3 linked regions of the Xenopus tropicalis genome follow. The protein of the gene in region 1 interacts with the protein of each later gene in a pairwise test. Links are inferred from orthologs where the notes say so. Each region holds a gene or a part of one and is shown in the gene's direction. Other genes may lie near its edges.

Region 1 (3,754 bases):
GTGGATGTATATTCAGAGGTGCAGAAGATTTCTGAGCTAATTTTGAACTGAGTTGTTGAAACATACCATTGCCTTAAGGTCAGGGCCGCTCTTGCCATAAGGCAAAGTAAGAACCTTGCCTCAGGTGGCAGTGAGCGGGCAGTAATCTGGGATGGCAAAAAAAGCCCATTGGGACTCAATACTAGCCTACAGTGAAGTCAGAATTTTATGAGGCACTAACACAGGAGTGAAGGTTTGCCAAACAAAGGGAGCTGAGTCTGAGGTTTCAGAAGGAGCCAGCGCTACACATTAGAACTGCTTTCAGCTAACCTATTGTTTCTCCTACTCCCATGTAATTGGAGGAGTCCCAAGCTGGACTTGGATTTCTCACTATTTAGTGCTATTCTGATATATAGTGGGAGCTGCTATCTTGATGCTTCACATTGTTCTGCTAATTGGCTGCTGGGAGGGGGGTGATATCACTCCAACTTGCAGTAGTGGCTGCATTTCCCTCGGCTTATACTCGAGTCAATAAGTTTTTCCAGTATATATAGTATATATAGATGGAAGGATCTACTGGTAAATAAAGCATTCGAGAGATTATAGTGCCCTTATATATTCATACATAGTTCTCATATTCCCCCTTAAGGACTTCTATTTGCACCTTGGCCAGTCTTTCCACATAACGGAGTCTTTACATACCCTATATGTGCTTAATTGCCCTTCTCTGGAATTTCGCTATTTAATAGGGATGCAATATGGTGCTCAAATAGCTCCTTGTGCCAATATGTATAGGCTTGCTTCATAAAGAACATATCTAGTAAATGGCCTCTCTGCCTAACTTTGTGAAGGTGTGTGCTTTAGATGAAGCTCAGGACCCATGCTGACTATTGTGTGGCTAATCAGAGGGAAACAAACCTAACATCTGTGTGCAGTGCCAAGTGCCAGCTAGTGGCATATAGCTCCCAGATCTGCTGAAGTAAGAGATGGCGTTTCACCAGCTGGCAGTCTGATGGGGAAAGTCCAAATATGGCAGATACCAGGAGGAGACAACCAGCTTAAATCATATATGCCAACGGTAGGGCTGACTTTTGTTTCAGCACAATAATGCTGCTATGCACAAAGGGCCATACTGAATGAGTTTGTTTAGATGGGAGTGGGACTGGCCGGCACTGAGCAATATTAATCCCACCAGTAAGGGTTACAATAACCTGGAGAACCCACTACTCCACTATGCACCCACTCCAGAACAGTGTCAGTTGATTTTTGCCTGATCCTTCCCTAAGCAATTAGAGCCTTGCTTTCCAATGCCTTTGTGGTTAAAGAAGCCCTGTTATTCTGCAGTACAGTTGGCAGTGCTATGCTGATTTCTTGCATTTTCCACAGGTAAATTTGAGCCACCCCTTTTTCACCCGAATGTCTATCCTTCAGGCACAGTGTGTCTGTCTATCTTAGAAGAAGATAAGGATTGGAGGCCAGCAATCACAATTAAACAGGTATCATAAAGTGCAGATTCCTGTCCTTCTGTATAATACTGAACAGTTTGTGTTCTGCAATTAACTTTCTCTTTTTTTTTTCTATATAAAGATCTTGTTAGGAATACAAGAACTTCTAAATGAACCAAATATACAAGATCCAGCTCAAGCAGAGGCATACACAATTTACTGGTTAGTGTTTATGTATGGGGCATTTTTCTGGCTGGGATAGGGGCTGTGTATATGTCCCCTCTTCTGTAGTAATGTTACCCTTTACAGGCAAACAAATCACTGTACTTGATGCTAGCTTTAATACTGTCTATTTGACATTTAAAGGGCTGCTATAATTTTTTTGCATTCACATTGTATTTCACTACTCTAATATTGAGAACTGAGTTTTTTTTTCCAGTAGCTTTGTTCACCCAGGCTTATCAAGCTTGCCATTTTAGTCCTACCTAAGCTGACACCAGGTCTGGGCAAGGATTCAAAATAGGCCCTGGCATTTGAAGGACATGTCAACCCCAAAAATGTTTTGCCTAATAAAGGAAAACTTAATTCTAAGTAACTTTGAAATATACATTCATTACATATTTGTAATGGTTTTTGAGTTATTTGTATATATAGCTGCTATTAGAAGTAGTGTTGGTCAGTGCTTTTCTATTCCCTGGTGGCTCTGGTGTTTAAAACAATGTAACAAACGGCAGCAGATTTTACAGACCTGTCTTGCTGGAGGAGCCTGGCACTCGCAACATTGTTTAAAAAGTAACAACCGGGAGTTCAGCAAATGCTGCTTTCTGTAGCAATTACATTTACAAAAAAACCATTTAAAGCACTGATATTTTTTAATACATTGTTATTGGAAAGTTGCTTAGAATTATGTTTTTTCTTTTATTATGAAAAAAAAATATCTTTAGGGTTGACATTTCCTTTAAAGTACACAGAGGCCCAGGTATAGCCCCCCCCCCCCCCCCCCATAGGTCCAATGGAACTCAGAAGGGACTTATGATATCCTCATATTTTACAATGGGTATTTTATTTATTACCTCACATACTTGTGTGTGTGTGTGTGTGTGTGTGTGTGTGTGTGTGTGTGTGTATGTATAATATACTGTATATTCAGGGGGACATGAGGTTTGGGACATGACCTGTCAGGAAGCCAAAGATGGACTCCACCTCACAGAGGACATTTTCTGATACCCTGTATAGACAGGCTTCCATGGATGGCAACTCACAGAATGTGCAGGCAAAGTTGGGCAAGTCATTAAATTGACTGAACAAAGGGATTTAGTTTAAGGGTAGGGCATATGGGTGACCAGGTAGAGTATAGCCTGGGAAATTTGTCTTGATTCTTTTTTTTTTTTTTTATCTCCCTCCCACAGCCAAAACAGAGTTGAATATGAAAAAAGAGTCAGAGCACAAGCCAAGAAGTTCGCGCCATCATAAACTTCAACCTTGCAGCATCTTAAAATAAAAGGAAGGGATTGGTTTGGCAAGAACTTGTTTACAAAAAAACAATTTTTTTTGCAAAAATTGAATGATGCTAAATAGAATTGAAACTCTCACTTAGGGGAGGGGGTCGTATGTGTGCCATTTTCCATTTCCGCCACTTGTATAGAGTTCTAAATTTGCTGAATATCCCCCCCAGTTTTTTCATACAGGGTCTCTTCCTTCAGTCTTTTTGTATTTTGATTGTTATGATGTAAAACTTGCTTTTATTTTAATATTGATGTCAGTATTTCAACTGCTGTAAAATGATAAAACTTTTATACTTCTATAAATTCACTAGTAATCTCTAGTTTTCCTTTGCTATCTGATGCAGGCATGCTTTCAAATGTTTAGAACTATATCTAGCCTCTAGCTGGCTGTATTAAGAACAATGTCATAAATTCCACCCCCTCCCCTACCCCAAATTTCTTTTTACGTCTTTAAGAAACTAGGTTGCACCTCAACCTAGAGCCTCAGAGATTCAATGTCAGTCAGCATCTTGCTTCTGCATCACTTCCTTTGTTTATATGGCGTTTTGTCTGTGTTGCTGTTTAGATTAAATAAACTGTTTATATAAAGTTTTTGTTTCTTTATCTTTTTCATTAAGAGGACCACAAAGCAGAAGTGTTCAGGCTTGTAAACTGACATTGTGACATTTTTATTTTTTGTGTGAAATCTGTACATATATATATATATAAAAGAACTTTTTATAACTGTTCTATTCTTGCTGCGCCGTGAAAAGGATGAGCAAAACGATTGTAGCCCTGGCATCTTGATGTAGTTGGCTAACGTACTGTTGTCTTGTAATCTGAAAT
Region 2 (3,654 bases), on another chromosome or scaffold:
AGCAGCTACTTGCCATGGCTACTAAAGGCCAGAAAATCCCCTGCCATAGACAATATTGGGAATGGCCTCTGCTAGAGCTGGGCGGTATGACCAAAAATTTATATCACGGTATTTTTCAAAATTATATCGGTATCACGGTATTTGACGGTATATAAATAAAAAATAAATAATAAATATTGGTGGCCCCAAAAAAACCATATCGTTTTTTTTTTTAAAAAACCGGTATACCGGTTAAACCGGTATACCGCCCAGCACTAGCCTCTGCTAAAACCCATCAGTAAATGATCAACATTGTCTGTTTTAGTAGCTGCTACTGGTAGCTCTCTGTGTCTTCACCCTTAGGGTGAAGACACACAAGGCTACTAGTAGCAGCTACTTTTTTGCAGCTACTAAACTTCAGAAAATACCTTTCCATACTGAGAATTGCCTCTCCTAAAACACACGTAGAAACAGTTATCAGTAAATGATCAGCATTGTCATTGTCAGTAAATGATCAGCATTTTAATAGCCGCAACAAGTAGCTGCTACTAGTAGCTCCGTGTGTCTTCACCCTTAAGGTGAAGACACACTGGGCTACTAGTTGCAGCTACTTTTTTGCAACCAGGAACCACATTAATGGATCTAACCAGGAACCACATAGGAGCCATGTAAGTTCTTCTATGTAAGGATCTAGTTGGGCTTATGGATGGGTCTAACCAGGATCCACATAGGAGCCATGTAGGTGCTTCTATGTAAGGATCTAGTTGGTATTATGGATGGGTCTAACCAGGAACCACATAGGAGCCATGTAGGTGCTTCTATGAAAGGATCTAGTTGGGCTTATGGATGGGTCTAACCAGGAACCACATAGGAGCCATGTAGGTGCTTATATGTAAGGATCTAGTTGGGCTTATGGATGGGTCTAACCAGGAACCACATAGGAGCCATGTAGGTGCTTCTATGTAAGGATCTAGTTGGTATTATGGATGGGTCTAACCAGGAACCACATAGAAGCCATGTAGGTGCTTATATGTAAGGATCTAGTTGGGCTTATGGATGGGTCTAACCAGGAACCACATAGGAGCCATGTAGGTGCTTCTATGTAAGGATCTAGTTGGGCTTATGGATGGGTCTAACCAGGAACCACATAGGAGCCATGTAGGTGCTTCTATGTAAGGATCTAGTTGGGCTTATGGATGGGTCTAACCAGGAACCACATAGGATCCATGTAGGTGCTTCTATGTAAGGATCTAGTAGGGTTTATGGATGGGTCTAAACACAGAATTGTGACTTTATAAGAAGATAAAAACATAGATTTGGTTATTAAGTATTTACCCCCAGTTGTAATATTTATCCTTCCGTGTAAGTGCCTTTTGCCCCCAGTGTACGTCTAATTGTGGGTCTCTCTCTCTCTCTGCAGGTATGGCCTCTCATTTGCAGATATTTTCCTCTCACGGCCTCCCATTGAGGACCTTTTGTAAGGTGAAGAAGCCGAAGCTTGAACTGAGCCCGGGCTGGGATATGACTGGTTACGGTTGCCACAGCAAGGTCTATAACTCGGGCAAGAACAGCTCCACGTCTGGCCAGCCGGTGCTCAGCCACGCCTCCCTCCTCCAATCCTACGAGCAGACGGTCATCTTTCCCACCAGCGCGGGCCACATTGTGGTAACCTCGTCCAGTAACGGTTCCTCAGCGGCGACGGGGCAAGCACTAGGCGGCCCTCAAACTAACCTGATGCGGCGCAGCACGGTCAGCCTTCTGGATACCTACCAGAAGTGCGGGTTGAAGAGGAAGTGTGAAGAGCTGGAAAATAACAGCAGTGTACAGATCGTGGACGAGCATCCCCCCGTCACCCAGAACAATGCTAGCGGGGCCACTGCGGCTACCACCTCCACCGCCACCTCCAAGAATAGTGGCTCCAACAGCGAAGGGGATTACCAGCTGGTGCAACACGAAGTCCTCTGCTCTATGACTAACACATATGAGGTGCTGGAGTTCCTGGGCAGAGGAACCTTTGGTCAAGTGGTGAAATGCTGGAAGAGGGGAACCAACGAGATTGTGGCCATCAAGATCCTGAAGAACCACCCGTCCTACGCCAGGCAAGGCCAGATCGAAGTGAGCATCTTAGCCAGGCTCAGCACGGAAAGCGCCGACGACTACAACTTTGTGAGAGCCTACGAGTGTTTCCAGCACAAGAACCACACCTGCCTGGTCTTTGAGATGCTGGAGCAGAACCTCTATGACTTCCTGAAGCAGAACAAATTCAGCCCGTTGCCCCTCAAGTATATCCGGCCGGTGCTGCAGCAGGTGGGAACTGCTCTGATGAAACTGAAAAGTCTGGGGCTTATTCACGCCGACTTGAAGCCGGAGAACATCATGCTGGTGGATCCTTCCCGGCAGCCATACAGGGTCAAGGTTATAGATTTTGGTTCTGCGAGCCATGTGTCAAAAGCGGTCTGCTCCACCTACCTACAGTCCAGATATTATAGGTAAGTTGCCTAAAGAGATACCTGGTCTTAAGGTATAGTTTATCATGTACCATATATACTCGAGTATAAGCCGATCCGAGTATAAGCCGAGGTACCTAATTTTACCAAAGAAAACTGGAAAAACATATTGACTCGAGTATAAGCCTAGGGTGGGACATGCAGCCGCTACTGCTAAGTTTTAATAATCAAAATAAATACCAATAAAATGACATTAATTGAGGCATCAGTGGGGTATATGTTTTTCAATATTTATTTCAAAGAAAAACAGTAAACTAGCTCTGTAAGTGGAGAAGAGGGTCAACAAAAACAATATGGTATCAACAATGATAACTTAAGAGTACTACCCCCTTAGCTCAATCAGCAACCAAGCTAAAACACAAAGAGTTAAAATCCTTCAAAACTATATATAGTTTATATAGAATATAAAGTGCAAAATGGGAAAGGTGAGGATGGTAGATGAAGATGAATTTTCATCTGGAGGGACCCACGGCACCCGACTCGAGTATAAACCGAGGGTGACTTTTTTTCAGCACATTTTGGGTGCTGAAAAACTAGGCTTATACTCGAGTATATATTGAATTTTTACCCATAAAGCCATATATTGTGGACTCTGTAGGGTCAGGAAGTCTTTAACTCACGCAGAGGGTGGGAATGGAACACTTTGATGGGATGGGGGGGGGGGGCAATGATTTATGTAGGTGGATCAGGTGAGGAATGGGTGAATAAAGGCCAAGTGTAGGGCATTGTGGGTTGGCTGAGGGAGGGGGTAGGTACAGAAATGGCCTGGCCAGTGGGGAACAGTTAAACTATATGTCCAAAATGGACACCAGGCCTAGAACCCACTGTGATATTTCCCGGTATCAGAGTGGGCCAGTGAGACCCTTCTTCCACCCACTGCAAGTTGTAGAGTTGCCTTATACAAATTAAGCATTGTTTCACCTCTGGCCAGGCCATTTCTGTACCTACCCCCTCCCTCAGCCAACCCACAATGCCCTACACTTGGCCTTTATTTACCCATTCCTCACCTGATCCACCTACATAAATTATTGCCCCCCCCCGGGTTCCCGGATACCTTTCCATTGGCGCAGGAAGGCCCCGGCCACTCCCAATACCTGTTGTGCTTTGGGCAGGGGAGCCCTTGAAATCGGGTAATTTGATGGGCCCCAGGTGCCCTAGTCTGATACTG
Region 3 (3,754 bases), on another chromosome or scaffold:
GTCGCTCCCACCCTCTCTCCCCTCTAAACTTTAATGTTTGATCCTCGGGTGAATATTCACATTCAATTAGCTGGGCGGTCATGGTAATCGTGCCGATGGGGCCTGGGTCTGTCTGGCCTCCCTGCATGGCGCTGGCTGGAGATGGACCCTTTTCAAGTTGCCAGTCAATCTGCATAGGCTGGGGAATAAGGCTGAGCTCAATTTCAACCTGAATGAGAGAAAAAACAACTATTTATACAAGACTAAAGCGAGAACACAATGAAGGAACCTTAGTCTTGTTTTGTAGATACTTCTAAAATCATCATGACATTGGCTTTAGACCCCAGTAGTGGCTCCAGACACCTTCTTTAGTCAGATGGCTATTCTCATCTCATTTACCACCACCCAGGGTTTTATCATTATACCCACTGTGCCCCTATGAGCTAAGCTAGAGACTACATACTGACATACCGAGAGAAGAGACAAGAAGCACATTATCTGCTTTGATAATTACACCAGACAAATCTCGTCTCCCTAATAACCCATTGCAGCCCAGAATAGGCCACTCATTCTCCCAGTGTAATGTGATTTAGTACAATTAGCTCTGCTCCCACAACCTAGTGTCAGAATGAAACTCATCTCATTAGATTCAACATCATTTCCTCATCTCCCTTCAATTAAAAGGTTCTCTGAGTGCTACATCTAGAAATTAGTGGGGGATATATTTTTTATTATGCAGGTTATAACCCTGAAATAATTGCCAAGTGGCATAAATCATGTATACAGTGCCATTCTTTTTTTCTATGGTATCTGTGTGCAAAAACAGAAATAGAACTGATGAACAGCAACACATGGAAAGGAATAAAATGTAACGGCCTTGGCAAATATGAAATCTATTGATGATTTGTGCGAAAAACATGGATATTTTCTGTATGGAAAGGAATGTATATATTGTTATAGGGACTGATATTGGGGCTATGGGATCCCAAAGTGCTCCCCTTATGCTGACTGGGAGGCTGGGAGCAGTGGGGCAGTTGCCTGTATGCTAATGAGCACATCAGGACTTGGTACTGGGAAAAAAAGAAACTTTCCACCATTAGAGGGAGATCTGAGTGCACCAAAAGCATCGCTCCAGCCTCCCTCTCTGTAAGGCACACACAGGGACTGCTGCACACAGGACCAGGGACAAGGAAGAACTGGAAAGGTCTCTTCCCAGCCACCCATGAAAATGCTCTGGAAACTAACGGATAATATCAAATATGAGGAGTGTGAGGTAAGGGCCCTGCAGCACTTTTTCTAACAGTTATATGTCCCCCTCCGATCTCTACCTTGTGTGTGTACAGAGTTATTCTGTAAGGTCTGCCGGAGTTTAAAGTACCTGACTCTCTGAGCCCTTTTACTTGTCGGACAGGAACCTTGCACTGCCCTGTAAATATGGCTCAGATTCAGAAATACGTATTTATATACACACTCCCAAACTTGTCTCTCTAATATTACTTTTTATTCATTCAACAACATTGTATATGCTTTTGTTCCCTATGGATAATATGTTGACAAATGAACAAATTATTTAGTTATTGATATAGTTGTGATTTTTTTATACACTAGTTATTTATATCACTATATATATATATATATAGTGTATATAGTAAGTATATATGTATATCCCCCAATTTTCTAAACAGGTAGGGTCGGATTTGTAGCTTTCCAAGGAACGCAGAGTGCAGGGCAAATAGTGCAAAGTGTGTGAGTGACGGATGTGAGTTCAGCATTGGAGCTCACCTGAGAGAGACCCTGATACAGAGGACATGTTGGTGGGGGCTGCCACTGAGCATGGATCACTGTCTTGTTAGGACTTGCAGGCAGCGGCACTGAGTCGCACTCACACCAGACAAATTTGCTAGCATTACCCAAGCGGTTGGTTAAAACACTAAACACAAACACAAGTATATATATATATATATCTAGTGTGTGCTTCATTGTACCTTCATTTTATTTTTATCTGTATTTTTAGGAGACTAAATTAAGCGCAGTTATACATGAAGCTGCCACAATGCAGCAGGGGCACAGCACTGAGATTTCTGATGTTTTACCTGGACTGAAAGCTGAATATTTTGAAAGGCTCTGGTGTCTCAGGTAAAGGATCAGACAGGAGGGAGAGGGCAGAACAGGGTCCCTGTGCATTAGGCAAAGGCTCTTGTAATCTCCCTTTCAGCGCCTGCTTGAAGCCTTATTTTGTTAGCTGTGCATATTTGTACAGGGACATGCAGGCGGTAGGTGGCTCTTGTTGTTCTAACCCCAGCCAGCCAGGAGTTGTGTATAGTTGAACATGACATATTTTGGAGGAGTTGTTTGCTGGAGTGGTAGAGCCAGTCTGACGGGTTTCGAGTGGGAGACTAGGAGAGCCGGGGACGGGCGGAAGGGAGGCAGATTCGGAGCCGGGCAGAACCGAGCCGCGCTGGACTCAGCTCACCCCCTCACTATTGCGGACTGGGGCAGAACCGTTGCCGCTGCGCTGTGCGAACTATAGCATCTACTTCCCAGGCAAAGCGCCCTATCTGCACCCTGGATCTGCCAACGGGGACAGGAAATCAGAGCTAAACAAAAAGAAGAGAGTTGCCCTGCTCCCTTCCGGGCCCTGCATGCTCCCACAAGCACAGCAGCAAGGGTGGATTTCTCTTTTGTCTCACACTGAGCTACAGGGCTTTGCTGGGCTGAGGAAGGAGCCCTGTCTCACATGTTTAGCCCCAAGCAGCGCAGTGGTACAGGTTATTCGTGTACGAACTAAGGACACAGGTTAAGAGCTGCTGAGATCTGGGGCAGGAGGACATACAGAGAGCTGCCGGGCAGAATTTTGGAGGCTGCCATTTTAAGCTGGTTCTGTTCTGTGGCACTTGTGGTTGCAGCCCATAGGGCTATGGATCAGTCACAGAGGGCAGGAGATTCGGGCCCCTCAGATACAGACATGAAAAGCAAAGGGTTGAACTCCACAGAGAACATTCCCGTCCCCAGCAGCAAGAGAAGGACCTCAGACATGGACATGTCATTTCCAGGATATTCCCAGGATTCCCAGGTGCCAAATCCTTTTATCTGCCCCTCACCCCCCTTGCCTGTCACTGCTGATCCCCATACTCTGGAGCTGTTTCCCTTTTGCATGCCCTGCAACCTTTAAAATGTCCCCCCCTTCCTTGTGATTCGTCAGCCAGCCCCCCTCTCTCCCTCACTCTCTGAGTCTCTCCCTCCTCTTCCTCCCCCTCCACCTCTGATTAGATACACTGCCTCTTCATTCAATGGACGTCATTTAGAACAGGGCTCTGCCTTGAGTTGCCTCTTCGGTTCACGCTCGATTTCCAAGCATTCTTCCTTTATTAAGTATCGGTGTAATATTAATAGTCATGAATATGAGGGCTGCAAGGCTGGCAGCCTGCGCCTGTTAGTAGGAAAAGCCTGCGGAGCTGCATCCAGGAACAGTGTCTAGGGGACAAGGATTAAGGAAACCCAGAAATCCAAACTTTGCCTAAAACATCCCTCCCTGAATAGCAATTGTGCTCTCAACCCAAAATGAAGAAGAATTTCCTCCACATCTGATGGATTATATATGCTTATTATGCCTACAGAGCCTTGGTCCTTATGATTTTGTAGGGACCAGTTTCTAGAGCTGGGATTTTATTTTCATTTTTTTTCCACTTCTCTAAATTTTTTTTTTCACATTTCTTCTTTGATCAACGTTTTCTTTCTGATTTCTCTTCTTCAATTTGTATATATACTCTGCCCA

The links.
Region 2: the proteins of ube2i (region 1) and hipk2 interact in a two-hybrid assay, tested with the Homo sapiens proteins (5 studies listed by BioGRID and IntAct). The link is inferred for Xenopus tropicalis from reciprocal best matches to the Homo sapiens genes UBE2I and HIPK2.
Region 3: the proteins of ube2i (region 1) and tfap2a interact in binary tests that used the Homo sapiens proteins (3 or more experiments, as listed by UniProt). The link is inferred for Xenopus tropicalis from reciprocal best matches to the Homo sapiens genes UBE2I and TFAP2A.

The regions. Positions count from the first base shown.
Region 1 is NC_030685.2:28,773,850-28,777,603, reverse strand, and holds part of ube2i (SUMO-conjugating enzyme UBC9), read left to right. Parts: intron 1-1,365; coding exon 1,366-1,475; intron 1,476-1,566; coding exon 1,567-1,646; intron 1,647-2,833; coding exon 2,834-2,897; 3' UTR 2,898-3,754. UniProt on the Homo sapiens protein: Accepts the ubiquitin-like proteins SUMO1, SUMO2, SUMO3, SUMO4 and SUMO1P1/SUMO5 from the UBLE1A-UBLE1B E1 complex and catalyzes their covalent attachment to other proteins with the help of an E3 ligase such as RANBP2, CBX4 and ZNF451.
Region 2 is NC_030679.2:7,953,544-7,957,197, reverse strand, and holds part of hipk2 (homeodomain-interacting protein kinase 2), read left to right. Parts: intron 1-1,399; 5' UTR 1,400-1,401; coding exon 1,402-2,468; intron 2,469-3,654.
Region 3 is NC_030682.2:90,360,098-90,363,851, reverse strand, and holds the start of tfap2a (transcription factor AP-2-alpha), read left to right. Parts: upstream 1-1,131; 5' UTR 1,132-1,201; coding exon of another isoform or gene 1,202-1,207; coding exon 1,208-1,252; intron 1,253-2,063; exon of another isoform or gene 2,064-2,896; coding exon of another isoform or gene 2,897-3,052; intron 3,053-3,083; exon of another isoform or gene 3,084-3,754.